Linked DNA regions of Oryctolagus cuniculus. The protein of the gene in region 1 purifies or fractionates together with the protein of each later gene. This does not show direct contact. Links are inferred from orthologs where the notes say so. Each region holds a gene or a part of one and is shown on either strand. Other genes may lie near its edges.

Region 1 (3,901 bases):
TCTGCTATCCTGGGTCCATAATCGTCTCCTTAGCTCAACATTTTCTACCCTGCAGCAGGTCTGGCTTGTAAGATAATTGTCCCATGTCCCCGATCCCAAAAATGCCTAGCCTGTGACGGGCGTGCACTAGCTCTGCAGTCTTTGGCAGGGGTGTGCACACGTGGCACCTTGGCACCCTTCATTTACTCTCCCATCTTAGTGGAGGAGGAGCCTGTTTGAGGGTGACCTTGTGGTTGGCTGCTTCTGAGCCCATCCTGGCGGCTTGGGGTTTCTTCTGACGGGGTGAGAGGAGGAGCAGTGGGAGTGACCCTGTGTCCAGTGGACCATGGCAGAATGAATTCGGTGAATGGGCATTCATTAGTAACTCAGACTTGGAATTTCTGTCAGAGGAGGCTGATGTTTTTGGGAAGCTCTTGTATATCCTTCATTTTCCTTGTTTTCTCCGAGTAAATTTCCACTCGAGCACTCGAGTGGGCCTTAGCTGGGTGGAGCAGGAAGGGGCAGGGCTTACAGAGCTGGGGCTCAGATGAGTACTGGTCCTCCGGCACGTTCCGGTCTGCATAGCTGAGTTGGGAGACGAGGTCTGAAGCTCCTGTTGTGTACTTAGGTCCACTGCCAGCAGGGCCTGCCCCAGGTTGTGTCTGCTGCCTCAGAGCTGGGTCTGGAGATGTCTGGGTTCTTGAGAAGGCAGCAGCTGGCCTCTCCCCCATAGCAGCAGCCTTGCCTGAGGTTTTGTCCTTGTGCGGCTGATTCATTTTTATGTCCCGAGTGCCTAGCTCGGTGCCTGGCCCCTGTGGTTCTTCAGTAAATACTTGTGAACACATGGTGTCTGGCCAGCGAGGACAGTGCCTGCGGAGAGGCCTCACAGCAGGAAGAGTAGTGTCTGTCCAGGTGTGGTGTCCCAACTGCTCTCTCCTTGGCAGGTGCAGACTGGCAGGGGTCAGTTTTATTCCTCTTCTTGCTGACTATCTCCTGTACACCTTAGCTGGGGTTGTGTTTCCCAGAGAATGTCATGTCAAGTTCTCTTTCCATCCACAGCTTCTCATGCGTTATCCCCCCTCCTGTGGGCAGGGACTGGGTCCGTAGCACCTGGCACATATGTCAGGAGGTAAGAGAGGAACAGAGAAGCAGTCTGGAAATGAGAAGGAATGGCCAGAGTTTACAGCCTTGTGTTCTTGCCCAAATAGCTGTCATAGCTTCTGTATGCCAGGCCAGGATTGCTGTATGGATGTGTGTGTGTGTGTGTGTGTGTATGTGTGTGCCAGGCCAGGATTGCTGTATGGATGTGTGTGTGTGTGTGTGTGCGTGCCATGTGATCCGTGATGCTGTTTTTCACTATGTAAATCTAATAAATATCACTGAATGCCCTGCAGATACTGCCTCAGTGACCATGAAACCCTGGGTGTCCACGTTGCTGATGGCCTGGTTTGCTGCCCTGAGCTGTGCATGGGCTGAATTCTTCACCTCTATTGGTATGTGCCGAGAAGTTTTCATCTGCCTGAGCAGCCCTCGGCTCAAATGCCGGCGCTGGCCCTGCCTGACAGGTTTCTCACTGAGGGGGGGTTGGTGTCACCCACTGCTTGTGACCAAAGCTTCTAGAGCTGCTGTTCACGTTCCCCGCAACCCCCTCCCCCCACCCACCCTGGACAGCACCTTAGCTCCGGTTAACTTGGGTGTCCTAGGAGCTAACCGCCTAAGTTGGGCCCTCCTGCCTGGCTTGTGCAGGCTTCAGTTGGTCTCTCTGGTCTCTGACCATTTAACCTGACCTAGAGTTTCTGAGTGCACTCTCCCACCCTCCCCTCTCCCTCACCTGAAGTTTCAGAGATGCTAGCGTGTGCATGCCCAGTGACAAGCCAGCCGGCTCACGGTGGGAGAATGAGATTGGGAGTTTCTAGCTGAGTAGCTGCTAGTGCATTTATTCCCATATCCTGTCTGCCTCTCTCTGAAGGCTGGAGCCAGGACCCTGTGAGTGCCTAGGCACCCTTTAACTCAACGTTCCCATGATCCCCAGAGAGCTGAATGTCCTTGGCCCAGGGAACTCGCATCTGTGAGGGTGTTCTGTGCTCCAAGGAAGGGAGCTGTACATCTCCCATGCACATCTCATCAGCACTGCTTCTCTCCCCTGCAGGGCACATGACCGACCTGATCTATGCTGAGAAAGACCTGGTGCACGCACTGAAGGAGTACATCCTTGCGGAGGAGGCCAAACTCTCTAAGATCAAGAGGTACCGCTCGCCCGAGTCCCCACGCCCACCCTCAGTCAGCCCCTCTCCTCCCAGGGCCCCATCCAGGGTGTCTTTAAGGGAATCCCTTGAGAAGGGATGTGATGCAGTCCTGGAGGTTATTTGTGACAGAACTCCGGAGGAGCTAAACATACAGGCTAAGGGTCACATTTTTTTCTCACTTTCTAAGACCCTTTTTTTTTTTTTTGAAACTGACATTGGGATTCCTGGCTCTGTCTAGATTAAAGGGCCAGAAAGAAGTATCTGCAGGGAGCGTCTGTATTTATTTTTTACTACTTCTTGATGAGAAGGGTTCTGGATCTCCCTAGGGAAGTTTCTGCGGATCAGGACCGGGTGGATTGGAATGTTAATCCTCCTCTTCCTCTGTTCCATAGCTGGGCAAGCAAGATGGAAGCCCTTACCAGCAAGTCAGCTGCTGACCCCGAGGGCTACCTTGCCCATCCTGTGAACGCCTACAAACTGGTTAAGCGACTGAACTCAGACTGGCCTGCGCTGGAAGACCTTGTGCTGCAAGACCCAGCCACAGGTGAGGGATAGTGAGCAGGTGTTCAGGGGAGCCTGTTTGTTTGCAGGCTTGTGCCTGGGCAGCTATGTCTGAGCCTGCCTTGAGGATGTGTGTGTCGGGGGTGAGGGCAGGTAGAGTATGTGACCATGGACCCGTCAGGCCGCCGCTCTCCCCCTTCTCTGTGAAGACCTGGCAATTGCCTGTCCTTGTTTTTTCATGTTTGAAAATAATTGGTTTTCATAGTGTTTTTATTTCCCGCCTCTATTAGGTAATACCATTTTTTTCTACTTATATTTTAGTAATATATACTGTTACAGAAAATTTGGAAAACACAAAAGCAGTCAACTCAGAAAAGTAAAATTCTTTTTTTTTTAAAGATTTATTTATTTGAAAGTCAGAGAGAGAAGGAGAGGCAGAGAGAGAAAGAGAGGTCTTCCATCTGCTGGTTCACTCTGCAGTTGTCGGCATCGGCTGGAGCTGTGCCAGTCAAAGCCAGGAGCTTCTTTCGGATCTCCCACGCAAGTTCATGGGCCCAAGGACTTGGGCTGTCTTCCATTGCTTTCCCAGGCCACAGCAGAGAACTGGATTGGAAGTGGAGCAGCTGTACTTGAACCGGCGCCCATATGGGCCACCAGCACTGCAGGCGGCAGCTTTACTTGCTACGCCACAAATCTGGCCCCGAAAAGTATAATTCTTAATCTAATTGCCTATTGATAAGTGCTGTTATGATTGTAGTCTTTCTACATGTGCATATACACTTAAAAAAGGAACTATGCATATATACTAGGGGATGCAAACGTAACTGCTTTGAGGGACAAATGAATTAACAAAAATGAGTCTTTTGGGCTTGGTGATGGGGCCACAGCAAGCTGGGAGCCTACGCATCATCAGAATTCATTTGTGTTTGTATCTTTCACAAATAAACATGACATAAGCATATATTCGCATCCTGAATTTCCCAGCTTCTCCATCTGCCGTTAAATGTTCTTCAGCCACGTGACTTCACTGTTGTAGTCTCATATACTGATATCCTGTAAAGGTGCTCAAACCACTGGATATGGGATTGTTTCCAAGTTAGCAGTCTTTTACATGCTTCTTTGTGACTACCTCTGATAATATTTTAGGCTAAATTCCTAGTAGTGGTTCTTACTGG
Region 2 (3,801 bases), on another chromosome or scaffold:
CTGGGTCCGTTAGCTCACGGCCTGCTCTCCCCTCTGCAGGGTGGACCTGGCAGCCGTGGCTTCCCAGGTGCAGATGGCGTGGCTGGCCCCAAGGTAACCTGTGCTCCCTCGCTGGTCACCCCCCACCCCGCCACAGGCACAAGCGCTCCTGCGCGTGAGTGCAGCTGCAGGTGTTGGTGCCTCTTTCCCTTCCACTGGGCCTCACCTCTGCTATGCCTCCCACCCCGAAGCCCACCCAAGCCAGCGCCCACAGCCTTCCTTGTGTAAGGAGGAAGAGGCGCTGGCCATGGTCGCAATGCCCGCACTCAAGCCCCTCGTTTTCCTGTGACTTTTCCCAACCCAGGGTCCCGCTGGTGAACGTGGTGCTCCTGGCCCTGCTGGCCCCAAAGGCTCTCCTGGTGAAGCTGGTCGCCCCGGTGAAGCCGGCCTGCCTGGTGCCAAGGTGGGCCCCCAGCTCTGCCGCCCAACTTGGCCAGGCACCCCCTGGCCTGTTGGGGCATGGGTCTGGGATGAGGCTTTCTGGAGCAGGCCATGGGTCTGCTCCTGGGGCTACCCCCCACCATCCCCTTCTCCCCCTACTCACACTTCTGTTTTTCCCCCACACCCAGGGTCTCACTGGAAGCCCTGGCAGCCCTGGTCCTGATGGCAAAACTGGCCCCCCTGTAAGTATCCCTCCCCGTGAGCCCTCTCCCACCTTCCCGTCTGCCACCCCTGTCCCCATCTGACTTTGTGCCTCCCATCTTCAGGGTCCCGCTGGTCAAGACGGTCGCCCCGGACCCCCAGGCCCCCCTGGTGCCCGTGGTCAGGCTGGTGTGATGGGATTCCCTGGACCCAAAGGTGCCGCTGTGAGTATTGAGTAGGGAGCAACTCGGGGCTTGGGACAAGCACGCCTGGCCGGTGAGAGTCCCAGGCTCTGGCCCAGCCCTGCTGCTGACTTGCTGTGTGGCCTCACACTGCTCACTGCCCCTTCCTGGGCCTTGAGCACCTTATCAGTAAAATAAAGGACTTCCGGCTTCCCAGCCATTGCTCTGTGCCTGGAACTAAGTTTTGTGGGTGCCCCCGGCCCCACTCCCCAAATCTTGGAGGGTTTATTGAGGTTCAAAGAAGGCACCAATGGAGGAGAAACCCTTGGCAGCTGAGGCCACAGTGCGCACGGAGCAGGGGGAAGGGAGGAGGGAGGGTGGAGGGAGCAGGGCTTGCAAGGCCTCTGTGATTGTGGGGAGGGGCTGAGGGCCTCAGGCCTAAACTGCATGTGCACAGCCAACAGCCACCCGACTTTGGAGAAGGAGGTCCCTTTTAGAAACTCCTCCTCAGAGCAAGTAGGAGGCACCTGTGGGGCCTTCCGGTCTCCCTTCAGCCTCCTCAGCCTGCCCGCCCTTTCCTCCCCAGGGAGAGCCCGGCAAAGCTGGAGAGAGAGGCGTTCCTGGACCCCCTGGCGCTGTGGTAAGCAGCCCCTTCCTACCCCGCGCCCCTTCCTCCAGCTGCCCACTGGGCCTGCCACCCTGAGCACTCCCTTCCTGCCTCCCCACAGGGTCCTGCTGGCAAAGACGGAGAAGCTGGAGCTCAGGGACCCCCTGGACCTGCTGTAAGTGGCCCTGCCTGGGAGGCCTGAGGCGGCGCCCCCTGTCCCCTGCCCCGTCCGCCTTTCTGTGACCACAGCTGTCTCTCTGTGACAGGGCCCCGCTGGAGAGAGAGGTGAACAAGGCCCTGCTGGCTCCCCTGGATTCCAGGTGAGGCGGCAGTCAGGGAGCTGGGGGCTGGAGAAGGCGGGGACACCACTTTGTCCTCTCCAGATTCTGAAGCCCCTCCTCTTTCTCCCCCCACTGCTCACTTGCAGGGTCTCCCTGGCCCCGCTGGTCCTCCTGGGGAAGCAGGCAAACCTGGCGAACAGGTAAGAGGGAGCCGTTGGCCGAAAGGGTGTGTGGGCAAGGAAGGGAATGCAGAGGGCCAGGCACCTGCTGCAAGCTATTCAGACACTGTTGGGATGAAGGTTAGACACGGGGAGGGACTTCCTCGGAAAGGGAAACAGGAAGTGTCACGATGTGACCTGGGGTTGCAGAGCTGCCCGTCTGGGTGACTTTGAGGAGCTATAGGACGCTGTGGCTCCCCCTCCCCCTGGCCTGGGGAGGACAGCTCTCAGTGCAGAGTCGGAAGGAGTGGAAGGGCTGCGGGGCTGATTGTGCAAGGGCCAGCCCCAGAAGCAGGGACAAGAATCCATCCTGTGCCTAGGGCTCACTCTTTGGTCTTCCCTCTCCTTCAGGGTGTTCCTGGAGACCTTGGTGCCCCCGGCCCCTCTGGAGCACGAGTAAGTAGACGCTGTGCCCCTGCTCCCAGCCAGATGCCCTGTGGCTGTCTCTGAGCCTGGAGCAGCCGTCACGCCCTGACTTTCCCTTCTAGGGCGAGAGAGGCTTCCCTGGTGAGCGTGGCGTGCAAGGTCCTCCTGGTCCCGCTGGCCCCCGCGGATCCAACGGTGCTCCTGGCAACGATGGTGCTAAGGTGAGGGCAGCCCAGGGAGCAGAGCTCACCCCTCCTGTGGCAGGAGCATGATGGCCAGGGAGATGCTGGGGGAGCAGGTGGGGGGCTCCCAGGCAGCCCGAAGTCAGGGTTGTGAATCTTCCTTCTTCACCCAGGCCCAAGCCTGGGTGATTCCAAGAGGAAGCCCAGGACTGTGAGCCACTTCCGGGACCACCACCTCCACCCTGGCCTCATTGCAGTCTTCTTGGTTGTCACACAGGGTGATGCTGGTGCCCCTGGAGCTCCCGGTAGCCAAGGCGCCCCTGGCCTTCAGGGAATGCCCGGTGAACGTGGTGCAGCTGGTCTTCCAGGCCCCAAGGGTGACAGAGTAAGTACAGGAGCCCCCTCCAGCTCTCTCCCTGCTTTGGATCCTTCAGTGTCTTTCCATGGCTCCCTGGGACACTTCTCTCTTCTCCTTCCTCCTCCCTTCTCTGTCTTCTCCACTGTGGTCCAGGCCCTTCTCTCTAGGAGTTACCATGGTGATGAGAGGTGGAGCCAGCTCCTTGATGGAGCCCTCTATGCAAGACAGAGGCCTCTTAGCCTAGGTGTCAGCCGGCTCTCCGAGCAGGCACCTCTTCACCTGAAAATCCTTGGAACGGGGAAGATGAGACACAAGCAGGACACTTGCCACCCCTGGAAGTCTCAGGTCTCTCTTTGTCTTTAGGGCGATGCTGGTCCCAAAGGTGCTGATGGCTCTCCTGGCAAAGATGGCGTTCGCGGCCTGACTGGCCCCATTGGTCCTCCTGGCCCTGCTGGTGCCCCTGGTGACAAGGTAAGGTGGCTGCCTGCCTACACACAGCTTCTCCAGCGAGCTCTGCATTGGAGACGGGTCTGCCATATTGAGCTGGCGACCCAGGAAGCTGGAGGGACCAGAAGCGGGGGAGGCCGTTCTGGGGTCATCTGTCAGGAGTAAGTCAAGGTGGGCCCCCTGACCCTGAGCCTCTTGTCCTTCCCTCTCAGGGTGAAACTGGTCCCAGCGGCCCTGCTGGTCCCACTGGAGCTCGTGGTGCCCCTGTAAGTACAGAAGGCCTGGCCGATGCCCCCTCTGCTCCCTCCATCCTGCACCTGTTATCGTGGCATCTCTCCAATCTGCCTCTTTCCTTTTAGGGAGACCGTGGTGAGCCTGGTCCCCCCGGCCCTGCTGGCTTCGCCGGCCCCCCTGTGAGTACCAAGAGCCCATTCCTTCACAGTGAGTGACTGGATAAGGACAGGGAGTCGGCCTGAGTCGCGCCAGGCTCCTTGCTGCCTGCAGCTCCTGCTGCTCCCCAGCCCTGCACTCACCACTCT

The links.
Region 2: the proteins of P4HA2 (region 1) and COL1A1 purify together in Homo sapiens (co-immunoprecipitation; 3 studies listed by BioGRID and IntAct, counting the BioPlex papers as one, with this or other methods). This does not show direct contact. The link is inferred for Oryctolagus cuniculus from reciprocal best matches to the Homo sapiens genes P4HA2 and COL1A1.

The regions. Positions count from the first base shown.
Region 1 is NC_091437.1:20,767,470-20,771,370, reverse strand, and holds the start of P4HA2 (prolyl 4-hydroxylase subunit alpha-2), read left to right. Parts: upstream 1-1,373; 5' UTR 1,374-1,390; coding exon 1,391-1,472; intron 1,473-2,128; coding exon 2,129-2,225; intron 2,226-2,617; coding exon 2,618-2,769; intron 2,770-3,901. UniProt on the Homo sapiens protein: Catalyzes the post-translational formation of 4-hydroxyproline in -Xaa-Pro-Gly- sequences in collagens and other proteins.
Region 2 is NC_091448.1:26,151,984-26,155,784, reverse strand, and holds part of COL1A1 (collagen alpha-1(I) chain), read left to right. Parts: intron 1-39; coding exon 40-93; intron 94-343; coding exon 344-442; intron 443-608; coding exon 609-662; intron 663-746; coding exon 747-845; intron 846-1,389; coding exon 1,390-1,443; intron 1,444-1,531; coding exon 1,532-1,585; intron 1,586-1,676; coding exon 1,677-1,730; intron 1,731-1,837; coding exon 1,838-1,891; intron 1,892-2,260; coding exon 2,261-2,305; intron 2,306-2,397; coding exon 2,398-2,496; intron 2,497-2,734; coding exon 2,735-2,842; intron 2,843-3,178; coding exon 3,179-3,286; intron 3,287-3,474; coding exon 3,475-3,528; intron 3,529-3,621; coding exon 3,622-3,675; intron 3,676-3,801. UniProt on the Homo sapiens protein: Type I collagen is a member of group I collagen (fibrillar forming collagen).